Drosophila melanogaster: one gene and its partner. The protein of the gene in region 1 binds, or shares a complex with, the protein of each later gene. Each region holds a gene or a part of one and is shown on either strand. Other genes may lie near its edges.

Region 1 (6,528 bases):
ACAATTGCATAAAACAAAAAACAGGTACGAAAAGAAGTGCTTACCAAAAAACTTAGAAAAAGTATAGTAGACACTGGAGGAATAAAGTAACGTTGGGAATCTCGGATGGATTCAGTTAGGCCTTTAAATAATACATATGTTACTACTTATACTTTTAACTATTAAAGTCAATAACTTGCCTTGCAGAAAGTAAGACGGCATTCCTGGGAGTCCTTTTTGAACAGTTAGTGCAACTATTGTGGCCGGTCCGGAAAAGGCAAAAACAGCGTAACACGCAAAATTAAAGGTGGCCCAACTCTTTGAGCATTGAATGCAGCAAGGCAACTTGTACCACACATTCAAAAGAACATTGAAGCATATGCACAAGTACCAGAAGAAGTAACTTAAAATACAAAACTGTATGACGTAGCCAATGAACCCTTGGTTCGGGATCCCATAGATGTGCACAACGGAGTGCACAAAGTATCCAGACGCCAAGCACAGAGACATCAAACTTAGCGAGAGACCATGCAAGTTACGCAATAAACGAAGTGTCATGTGCAAATAACTAACTAATAGCAGGCAGGGCATAGATATAAGCATAAGAACGGCAACAAAAACGACCTGAAATAATATTCATCCGTTGGTAAATAGAAAATAATGTTACATTGACTTACTTTTGCGAAGGCAATTTGTTCTTCCACTTGGGTTACACATGTAAAGGCAAACAAGTGTCCTGACTTATCAATATCCAAGCAATAATGTTCCTTCACAGTGTATGATTCGTTGCCAAATTTGTCGATGATTAATAACGAACCGTCTTGCAGAACAAAGAAAACATCGTCTTTGTCGTCGTACAAAAGAGAACTAATTTTGCAGAAGAATTTGTACTTTGATTCAATTTAACATTCGCTTTCATACCTGTTGCACGGATTTCCAATGTCGTAGTCGAGCGTAGTCTCAACCTCCAAATCTTCAATGCAGTTATCGAACAGAACTGCACTTATTATAGTCGGTTCGAAGCTTAAGAGCCCGTTGTCGCACATCGAATCGCTTTGATTTTCCCGATATATATTTAAGTTTTCTCCATGTGGGCAGCATTTTCTTAAACGAGACGATGGTGTTGCAACTGGTTGCTTTCTGTACTTTTCCCGTTGAGAACAGTCCGCCGGATCTAACGGGTTGTCTACAGGACTTTGAACAGGAACAGAGGTTGCGAACCTAGCACCTGATATTGTTGCAGCTTCTGTCGAATATGTTTGAGGTACAACCAGTGTTGAATGTATTGAGGCGTCCAGAACGTCAATCGAAGTGCTATTGAATGTGTCTTCATGGAAAATACTAAGCAAAGCAAAATATATTATAGAAAATGCAAAGATTCCAAAATTAGTATTTTTCGAAAACAAATATTTTGAGTATTTCTTACTTTGAGTTGTTTGATCCCTTCGAACTGTTATTTACAGTGCTTATCTGTGCGGAGGCGTTAAAAAACGTTTGTAAACTGATTAGAGCTAGGAGAAAATTCCAGTGGCCTAGATTCATATTGCCTTTTCAACCAATCTACAAAAAATATATAGCATAAAATGAATAAAACAAAATTGCCGAGTTCGTTTACACAGAAAGTATGTAAACAAACCAAATTTTGACATTAGTTAGGTGGTGTGGGAACTGGTAAGATATGGGCTATCTTATCTGTGTAAGATACCAGTAGAGTGCGTTATCATAATATAACACATGACGTCAGACGAATGTGGTAGCACATTCCTTAGAATTGATCAATACTCGGAAAATTACACTCATCAACTTATACAAAACCGCGTTAAATGTCAATTTTTGCGCACTGATTATTTGATTAGATCATATTTTATTCAATTATTGTATTTTTAAAAATAAACTATTTATGGCAATTATTGTTTACGTACATGTCAAATAATTTATGCTTGCTATTTAAAATGCAACCACTGAGCTTGATTAATAAAGTAATACTAGCGAAAAAGAAGTTTTAATTCTGCAATGGAATCACTTTGTGCAGGCGATAAGATAACGATGTTTTCAGGGCTTCAAAGCAAATTGTTTACCCTAATTTCTTTAACAATAACACATTTCTCAACAAACACAATTAAAATACTTTAATTTAGTATTTTTAGAATAATTTTTTAAAAAATTTAAGTAATAATAATATAAAAACCTTTCCCAGTAAACAAAAAATCGTAACGGCAACTTATTATCGATAACATTTTTAATGGATTTTTCGTGGTCGGCAATTTACGAAATGAGATCACCAGGATTTAAAATGCGAAATTGGGTAGAATGTAATACACTAAAATAAATTTACAAAAAAATACATTTTTTTTACCGCATCAAAAATACCGTTTTAATTTTTAAGATAGTGAGCAAAGGTAAGTTTATTTTGATTACAAGTTAACGGGTTTTCTTTAAACGCCCGCTCAACACGTCGATAAAAATAAAAATACATCTGTCAGTGCGGTTCAGCGTAAATGCCAAAAGCAACCCTGCCTATATCGTTTGTGCAACCATAAAGAATTAGTTCTCCAAGCCGACCGCAAGAGGACGCTTCTGACTTCACGCAATAGAAGAGTCGCTGTGATTGGCCGACTGTACACCGTCTTTAGCTATGTTCAAAACTGTAATGTTAGGTAAAAGTCTCTTTCGCAGTGTGCTGAAGATAGTTAAAAATATTAGAATATATCGTGTTAAATCCTGTGCAATTATTCCGCAACATGCTGGGTAATTTGCGCAGTTAATCCATGTGTTAATTGTGAAAGAAGAGTGACATTTAAACAGACGCAAAAATTTTCACGGTTGCTTAAATGGCGGACAATGTGCGTTGGCTTCATTTCATCGCACTCGCACACATACAATCGAACTTGGTGGTGCTGTCCAGTGCGTTTGCCGTCCAACACTAGAAGCCAAGAATGTGTTTTGAATACATGTACTTAATGTATTTAATCGGAACCGTTATTCTGAACTAAACAAGCTCTTTTGGCGGGTTTTTTTCAACTCCAAATTTGCGCAATACAAAGAAAGTGAACACCCAACGACAAACTTTTGACGATCTGATCGATTTTTCCCCCACATACGCTGTTGAGTAAATGTGTGTTTGAATGTGCCCCGTAAATACATAGCTAGCTGAGTGCGAGTGAGATGCGGTGTGCGTTCCTGTGGCACCGTGTACTAATGGGTTAATTTTCGTTTCAGATCTAATGTGCAGCCTCGCAGCATTAACTTGGAACAATATCTGAGGAGAGTACCCCCACGCACCCCTGCACACAGCCAGATAAATACGCAAGGCGAAAACAAACAAGATGAGCGGTCGCGGCAGCCGTAAACGTGGACGTCCGCCAAAGACGCCCAACGAACGCGCATCAGGACGCTTCAATTACCAGCTTCTCAAGAAGCCGAAGTATCTCAGCGAGGGAAAGTCGCAGCCCAGCACTCCGTCGGCATCCAGGGGCATTTCTCCACAGAGCGACGAGGGCAGCAGGAGCAGCCACAACAACCACACCAATCGCAGTCGCGGGAGCGCCGCTAAGAGGGGACGAGGCCGCAAATCCGCCGTGCAACCGAACACCAGTAGCTACTCTGGAAGGAAAGGTGGGTTAAAGGGGCACCTAAACTCTAACTTGGGAGTCAAGACTTACAGTTTCGCTCTGACTAGTTCGAAGATTAATAGGGAACATAATGTGCCATATATTGATTGCAGTGGAGAAAACTTTGATCGTTTTGAATGGTACTCATACTTCAAACGAGTTTTCCTGTGCGTTAAAGAGCTTCCGCTTCATAAAAGATCAAATTTAATATTTTCGTGACAACCACTACCGGGCGAGTCAGTTTCGATAGGTCTATCTGCTCTAATACCAACGATTATTTTTGAAATCTTACGACAAAAAATCTTTCAGTCTAGTTGGCATGAGTTTAATAACAATTACTTAAATACAATTCAGTAGAAATTGGGTCCACAATAGCAGTGACAGTATGTCAGGTTTTATGCACTTAGGTGTTGGTGAAATCATATTGGTTCTAAGAGCTACTGTTCCTCTTTTCAGGGTACGAGTCGGAGTATCACTACGGGTCAGATTTTGGGGATTCCGAAGAAGATAAATCCGATAATGAGGATGATATGCTGCTTACTCCCAGCGACGACGAGAGCCTAGAAGTAGCCAACGAGAGCGAATCAGAGTTTTCCGTGTGCAGCTTTAACCAAAATGGAGTTGGTCGGCCGCCACGTCCTCCTAGCCCAGAACCTGTGTGGCTGCAGGAAGGTCGTCAGTATGCAGCGCTTGATTTGCCGGACTCGTCGGAGGATCTTTTCATTGCTAATACACACGTTTTGCGCGCGCTAAGTATCTATGAAGTACTGCGACGATTTCGCCACATGGTCCGCCTTTCACCATTCCGATTTGAAGACTTGTGTGCAGCGCTGGCTTGTGAGGAGCAAAGTGCATTATTGACGGAGGTACACATAATGCTGCTTAAAGCGATTCTTCGAGAAGAGGACGCGCAGGGTACACATTTTGGCCCGCTGGATCAAAAAGATACGGTTAATATAAGTCTTTACCTGATTGACTCTATAACGTGGCCGGAAGTTTTGCGAAGCTATGTAGAAAGCGATAAGACATTTGATCGCAACGTGTTTCACATTTTAAGCCACACTGAATACCCTTACACGGGCATTGACAACCGGCTTGAAGTGCTCCAGTTTCTGTCAGATCAATTTTTAACTTCCAATTCTATACGAGATGTAATGCTGCAGGAGGGACCTATTCATTATGATGACCATTGCCGAGTGTGCCATCGGCTCGGTGATTTATTATGTTGCGAGACGTGCCCTGCTGTCTATCATTTGGAATGTGTAGACCCGCCAATGAATGACGTACCTACTGAGGATTGGCAGTGCGGGCTTTGCCGCTCGCATAAGGTAAGTGGCGTAGTGGACTGCGTGTTGCCACAAGAAAAACAAGGCGTGCTAATCCGGCATGATAGCCTCGGTGTTGATCGTCATGGGCGCAAATATTGGTTTATTGCACGTCGCATTTTTATCGAGGATCAGGAGAACTTTACATGCTGGTATTACAGTACGACAAGTAAGTTAAAATTGCTGCTCAGTCGACTGGACGCCGAAGAACTGGAAACTCGTCTGCATAGCCAGATTACAGAAAGGAGAGACGAAATCGAGCGCCAAATGAAACTGACTGAGACCTTAACCAATGAACACAAACACACGAAGCGTAGTGTTATCGAAATCGAACAAGAGGCTAAAAATGAACTTTTGGAGAAAGAGGTGCTTGACGAGGATGAAAAAGATGGTGATGCTAAATCTGAGAGTCAATCTATAGAGGGAACAAAAAAACAAGAAGAATGTAAAATGGTCACGCGTCAAAAATCCAATCAGCTGACTAATGGTACTTTGCATTTTAAACTTGGCATGGAGCAAGGATTTAAGAACTATGTCAACCAGTATTCAACAAATCCAATTGCACTCAACAAGCCGCAACGAAACGAGGAGCGAGATAAGCGACGCCATCTGTCCCATAAGTTCTCGTTAACGACGGCTTCTGACTTTAAATGGATCGGTATAACCATGGGAACTACTGACAATATGATAACAACTCTAAGGCAAACATTGATAAACTTCGAATCCAATATAGCAGCTTCCTTTTTAAATATTAACTGGGTAGTTAACAAAAAAATTTGGAATGCTGCGGTGATGAACGCCCGTCGACCTTCTGAATTTGCGGTAGTATTGTTACTTTTTCAAGCGTCCCTTAAGAGCGTTGTTTTTGCCAACGTCTGGCATGAGCAACTCGGACACACAACTTTGCAACGCATAACTAGTGCCGAACGAGAGGAGCGAAAAAAACTAGAAAAGCGAGAGAAGCGCGAGCGGGATGATGAGGAAGAACGTAATCGCTTAGCATTTAACTACATAAAGTATACCCTGGGTCTCAAACATCAAGTCTGGAAGCAAAAAGGAGAAGAATACCGGGTCCACGGGCAATGGGGCTGGCTTTGGCTCTCAAGCAGTCGACGCTGTGGTGTTCGTGCACGTCGAGCCCAACCTCTAACACACAATAGAGTCTACGTACATTACACCATGGGAGAGGAAAACGACGTAAATGAAATTATTTTAGTCGACCCACGCACCCAACGGTTTATGCAACAATGTGAGTCAAGCAATGTCGATGGTCAGGTGTGTCATTATTTACCGGACCAATATAAAAATGTGAAAGTTATAGAAGATGTTACGGAGAAAATCAAAGGGCACATCGACGTCAGCAAAGCGCTAAATGCTCCAGGCCGTACTTATTATTCAAAAGTGGCTCGCAAATCTAGATTAGATGACTTATTGGATCGCCGTTTAAAGTTGGCCGAGGTCGAGGAGCAGATGGCTTCTAAAATTCCTTCTGATATGAAGCCGCTTCTTGTTTCTTCCCAAAATAATACAGCCAACAGCAAACAAACGTTTCTAGAGAAGCGTTTACTTCGCCTTACTGAAGTCCAAGCAAAGGGGGGTCCTGCAAACGTAAA
Region 2 (6,103 bases), on another chromosome or scaffold:
GGTGGCTTTAGCGGTCCGCCAGGTTTTAAGCCGGGAGGAGCACGTATTGGCGTAGACGGAGCCCCATTGGTTTTTTGTTCGTTGTTATTATTTCTCTCCTTCGGTTTGGCCGTCTTAGGCTGATTCTCCTGGTTGCTCTTTTTATCCTTCTGCTTTTTATCCTTTTTATTTGCCTGCTGCTCTTGAACATTGTTGTTGCTTGCCTTGGGAGCAGGTTTCGATGTTGGACTCGGCAGAACCGGGGCCGGCGCCACTTTGGCCTTGCGATTCTCCAGCTCACGCTGCTTCTTCTCATTAGCTGGTTTCGACCAGTTCAATGAAGGAGATCCACTGCTGGGCTTTGGAGCAGTCGTCCTGCTTGAGCTGGCGCTGGCACTCGGTCCGAGGCTAGGGAATTCCGCCGCAGTGAGTTTGGGAGCACTCTTCTTCAAAGCCTCCTGGCGCGCTTTGGCCTCGTCCTCCTCCTTTTGTACCATTTGAAGCTTTTGAAAGGTGCTCGGGCTAGCCACTGACACGTAGTCATCGGCTAGAGACCGATGCTTAGCGGAGATGTTCGCCATCGGCACTGGCGATCCGCTAGGCAGCATATCCTCCTCCAGGTTGCGCAGATTCTTCTTGTTCCCCTTACCCGGTAATGCAGGAAAGTCTACCTGCGGCGTGGCTGCCTTTTTGGGCACGGCTGCTGATCGATTTGACACATGCAGGAGCATTCCGTTACCGGGAGGCCCACTTCGACTGCCAGAACCTGCCGCGCTTGTGGGTTTCTTAAAGACAGCTGCCACGGGGTGCTGCGATTGAGCAGCCCGGGCGGCAATGCTGCTGCTAGTGGGCCCAGTAACACCACCTCCATTTCCTCCTCCCAGAGCCGGGAAGTTTTCTTTGGTCCGAGCAAGACCAGAAGTTCCACTAAGATTGCGCATCGAGGGCGGTGGCGGTCTCACCAAGGATACGCTGGGAGCTGTGGAAGCGCCTCTCAATGTGGGAAACTGTTCCTCGTTGCCAGCATCAATGCTCACATGGCGCTGGGTGATCGAAGGCAAATCGTTCTGGTAGTCGTTGTGCTCGTCATTCCTGTAAGGTTTACCATTCTAAGAGTGCCTTCTTCAAATTGGATGGCCGCTCACTCACCTGGTTCTCACGCTGGTTATGCCCTGCTCCGTCTGCCCACTACGGCCACGAGGCCCCAAAGTGATCTCCACCTGCAAGGTGCGCGTCTGCTTGGCCTGCTGCTTGTTGAGCGACTTGCCGTGCACGTTGGCCACGTGCGCCTTGTACTCGATTTCGTTGCGGAATGCGCCGACAAACTGCTCGGTGGCGCACTTACCCTCCTCGCAGAGAAAGTGCTCCGCCCGGAAATGTTCCGCCAGATCCGCATAGTCATTGTAGAACTCATTGCAACCATCGGCGTCGCAAAAGTGGCAGAAGTAGTGCTCGCGGCGCAAATGACGGAACAACTCATCACGGTCCACATAGCGTTTATTGCAGTATTCGCACAACGGATGACCGCGATGCGACCGATTGTCCGGATCGCCCTTGGTGTTGTGTAGCTGCAGCTCCGCCTGAGTGTAGCACCTCCGTTCGAAGGTGAAGATATTGAGGGTCTCGACGCATAGGTCACAGTACAGAAGTTTATGCTCGCTGCGAACATGGTTGCGAAGGCCCTCGAACGTGCGGTATGGAGGTGCATCGCATCTGCAATTTAGCGTAGAAGGGTGAGCCTCAATGGTGCAACTCAAGTGCGGGCAGAATACTCACTTCGGGCAGGGATGGTCGAGCAATTTGAAGAATTGCTGTCTTATCTCTGCGGTGCAGAAGCCGATGCGGTACTTCTTGCTGTATAAATCAGAGCGGTTATTTGCCTCCAGTTCGCGATAGGGCAGCTTGTCCAGTGTGAACAAAACCTGCAAGTGTTTTAGAATTAGATAGAGATTCGGTTCTCTAGACAAGCGCAGGACTTACCTTGGACAGGACGTGGCGGCAGATGGGGCACTCGTTCTGCTGGCAGAGAACCCTCATCCGAGTGGAGCACTCGTAGCACACGGGATGATCACAGTCGCCGATGGAGAAAATTTCCACGTTTTTGAAGCACACCACGCAGGCGTTGTCGTCGTTGCCCGTATAGCTCTCCAAGGCCTCCGGCTTGACAGCAGCGTTATCAGTGGTGGTGTTGGCCACTCCGTCTTTGGGACGGCGGTGGAACGACGGCCTGGCCGAAGATCTCGGTTTTCCGTTCTGCATTTCACTAGAGATTTTGCAGTGAATGGAGGGGGGGAATTTACTTGTTGCCACGGGCACTTGAAAATGTACGTGTAACGACTGCTTTCGGATAAAAGCTGGGGTTTCTTGGATCCCCCGGTTTGTTTACTCTTTTGGAATATCTCGTCAGCAAAATAAAGGGGAATTTTTGCAACGCCAACTCGAAAGCAAGGCAACACGCACACACGACAGACGAAAAGAAAACTCAGAATTTAGAAAACTCGATTGCCAATGTTATCGATGACACTGCTCGGATCCCCGATAGCACCGATAGTTCCCAGTTGGAAGCTTTGTTAATGTTAAGTTAACATGACCAGAATTCGGACAATTTCGCAACGATCAGTAACCAGTACAAGTAAAACCTATTGACTTCGAATTTATAAAAAATTCAATCACTTATATGAAACTTTTAAAATATTTCTAAGTGCTTCTTCTGCAGGTATGAACATATTCAAAGCATATTTTGTTTAAGTTTTTACGATTTGACAAAAACTAAATAATCTTTAAGGTTTTGATAGTTGTCTTATTTATACTGTAAATAGATTTGTATAATAATTATAATTACAATATTGTATTTTATATTTAATAATAATAATTATAATGTTATAGTTTTCATATAATAATATTTATAATAATAGTTCTAATTGTATGAAAAAATGAAGTTCATTCTCCATTGGAATGGATGAAATGGAATCGAGCTATACATTTTCTGAGCAGCACTGTTAACTGTAAAATCGGGTCCTATCGCCCTATCGATAGACTCAACTCAGGGCTGAAGAAAATGTTGGCGAAAATTACAAGGAGTTCATTTTACGCTTCACGTGCGGTTGGTCGCTTGTCCGGCTCGATTCCAACGTCACCAGCGGCCCTTGCCAGCAATTGCAGATATATTCAGATAGAACGGAAGCGCACGAAATCACACGAGATGGCTCTGTACGAAACCGTTGAGAAGGGCGCTAAGAATTCGCCGAGCTACAGCCTGTATTTCAGTGAGTAGAGTAGCGCATTGGGGGCCAAATGTGAATGTGACCCGGCTTAACCCTTTGCTTGCGCATTTGCAAGTTACCCAAACTCGGTGCAGTTAATGCACCTAGAATTAGTTGATCGGTACCGGAATGGTTATGCAACAGGTCAAACCGGACTCTGCTTATTTAACTCGACGCATTATCAGCACTATCAGCCGATCCGATTTGTCTTGCGTCGGAAATGGCGGAAACACCAAGAGTTTCGGCCCCTTTGGGCTTATCTCTTTCCTTTATTAGCCCATATTCCGAATAGCAGATATCGAAACTGGTGGCTGAATTTCGGTTTACTGGCACGCAAATTAGTGACCTTTGTCTAGCCGACAGGTCCCCGGTCACTATTAATCAAATCGCGTGTCCAGGTGTCGCCCATATATCAGGCATAATAATTTCTGGCCATTCTCCACAGAAAACAAGTGCGGCAATGTCATCTCGCCGATGCACGACATTCCACTGTACGCCAACGAGGAGAAAACTATCTACAACATGGTGGTGGAGGTGCCACGTTGGACCAACGCGAAAATGGAGGTCGGTCTGCCTGTCCCTAAGATTCATACTTCTGAATAATACAAAAATTGCATGTCTGACCCTTAGATTAGCTTGAAGACCCCTATGAATCCCATCAAGCAGGACATCAAGAAGGGTAAGCTGCGGTTCGTGGCCAACTGCTTCCCGCACAAGGGCTACATCTGGAACTACGGAGCCCTGCCCCAGACCTGGGAAAACCCCGACCACATCGAGCCCTCCACCGGCTGCAAGGGTGACAACGATCCCATCGATGTCATCGAGATTGGCTACCGAGTGGCTAAGCGCGGCGACGTGCTGAAGGTCAAGGTGCTGGGCACCATTGCCTTGATTGACGAGGGCGAAACCGACTGGAAGATAATCGCCATCGATGTGAACGATCCGTTGGCCTCGAAAGTCAATGATATCGCCGATGTGGACCAGTACTTCCCGGGTCTGCTTCGTGCCACCGTTGAGTGGTTCAAGGTGGGTGGAATTCGATTTTCGGACGATTCCCTCTCTTACCCTTTGCATTTCGCAGATCTACAAGATCCCCGATGGCAAGCCTGAGAATCAGTTTGCTTTCAACGGCGATGCCAAGAATGCGGACTTTGCCAACACCATCATTGCCGAGACCCACAAGTTCTGGCAGAACTTGGTGCACCAGAGCCCCGCATCCGGGTCCATCTCCACGTGGGTTAAATGCCATTTTATACATTTACAATTAATCCTAAGTACGTCCGTTTCGCAGCACCAACATCACCAACCGCAACTCGGAGCACGTCATTCCCAAGGAGGAGGCCGAGAAGATACTGGCCGAGGCCCCCGATGGCGGCCAGGTCGAGGAGGTGTCTGATACAGGTAAGGTTCACTATATTAGATCGAACTTATAGCTGCTTCACCCGATCCCAACCAAAAACACACTACTCCAACACACGCTTTAACCACCAGTAACTTGCAAACAAATTGGTTACACAAACACAACCTGCACGCTTACTAATAGCTACTTTAATTGTCCAGTTAGCAAGCTAAATTGAGATTACTCCATGCTGTAAATACTGCTGAAACCCAATTTATGTAATTGGCTTGCTTGCGTTCGTTAATCGTTGTACATATACTTTATACTGAATGTTATCCTGAAATAAACCCTTTTTATACCAATTTACGTCCTTTGTAATTGCAGTCGACACTTGGCATTTCATTCATCTCAAGTGAGATGTTCTCCTGGGCTGATTCCATCACAAGATCCATGATCTATCTGTAGTCCAATCGAATCGAAAATGCTTGCACTTGTGAATTATTAATACTGAAATATTATCGTACGTTGAATAAAGTTTTGCACCGCAATCAAATTCGCTGTCGATTCCTCTTGAAATATACAATCTTTATTTATATTTTACGACTAGATCCAAACAAGTTTAAATTAATTAAAAGTTATGTAATTGTAAGGCATTGCAATACTACATAGAATCGAATCGAATTATGCCGTGTGGTGTTGCTCAGATGTGATTTCCGTTCTATTGCAGGAGAGCATGTGTGGGAAGGTGTGGAACGTAAAATTTATTGCCGTAACAAATTAACTTAAGCTTACGAAATAAAAGAAATGTACAAATCAGTTAGGCGTTATAAATATGTATAGAAATCTTTAAAAGAAGACAAAAATAGTTATATACATCAGACATTTTGATTCTTGTTCGTTTGTTCGTTCGTTTTTTTGTTTGCTTGTTTTTTTTTTGTTTGTTTCTTCTCATATTTGATTCTTGGCATAACTTTTTGCTTTCCTTCTGCGCGAAGAACTAAAAGAAATAAGCATAATTTACGTAATTCACTACAACTAAAAGCTCCACGAGACTGTTTCATGACAGATGATAGAAATAACATATAGACCAATTTAGACTTTCCGATATAAGTGCGGATAAGTAGCGTGTAATAGTTTAGTAATTGTCTTCATAATTTTTTTTTCAACATTTTTGCTCTGCTTTCTCTTGTAGCTAGATGTTAGCTTAGTTGTTTCTTCAAGTGGTACACATTCCTCGGGTCGATCGTTTCCTGGTTGCCATAGTTTCGTGCCGTGTTCTGCCACAGTTATCAATAATAATAGTTTTAGTTAATAGTTCATAGAATTAAGTAGCTGCTCGTGCCAGTGACGGTGCCAGAAAATCCCAGAGAATCGCACTTTACTTGCGACCCAGGGTATCGCGCCATTCGTTATACTTGTCCATCTCCTCGTGCAGCTGAAGAGCCTCTATGCAGGCGTTGAAGAAGGGCGATCCGAAGCATTCTTGCCTGTGTTCAAAAACAAAAGGAGGAGGAGGAATTAG

What was found. The genes of interacting proteins can lie anywhere in the genome.
Region 2: E(bx) (region 1) and Nurf-38 share a complex: the UniProt entries of both Drosophila melanogaster proteins name them as parts of the NURF complex.

Annotation. Positions count from the first base shown.
Region 1 is NT_037436.4:242,994-249,521, reverse strand, and holds the start of E(bx) (enhancer of bithorax), read left to right. Parts: upstream 1-2,609; 5' UTR 2,610-3,139; intron 3,140-3,198; 5' UTR 3,199-3,305; coding exon 3,306-3,594; intron 3,595-4,046; coding exon 4,047-6,528. Other genes in the region: mthl14 (methuselah-like 14), read right to left, coding at 45-121, 180-603, 657-846, 901-1,320, 1,406-1,521. UniProt on the Drosophila melanogaster protein: Histone-binding component of NURF (nucleosome remodeling factor), a complex which catalyzes ATP-dependent nucleosome sliding and facilitates transcription of chromatin.
Region 2 is NT_033778.4:24,557,995-24,564,097, reverse strand, and holds Nurf-38 (nucleosome remodeling factor - 38kD), read left to right. Parts: upstream 1-3,010; 5' UTR 3,011-3,037; coding exon 3,038-3,245; intron 3,246-3,687; coding exon 3,688-3,806; intron 3,807-3,872; coding exon 3,873-4,268; intron 4,269-4,323; coding exon 4,324-4,475; intron 4,476-4,533; coding exon 4,534-4,643; coding exon of another isoform or gene 4,644-4,675; exon of another isoform or gene 4,676-4,946; intron 4,947-4,965; coding exon 4,966-4,997; 3' UTR 4,998-5,131; downstream 5,132-6,103. Other genes in the region: CG11414 (uncharacterized protein), read right to left, coding at 1-1,071, 1,129-1,692, 1,756-1,901, 1,960-2,238. UniProt on the Drosophila melanogaster protein: Component of NURF (nucleosome remodeling factor), a complex which catalyzes ATP-dependent nucleosome sliding and facilitates transcription of chromatin.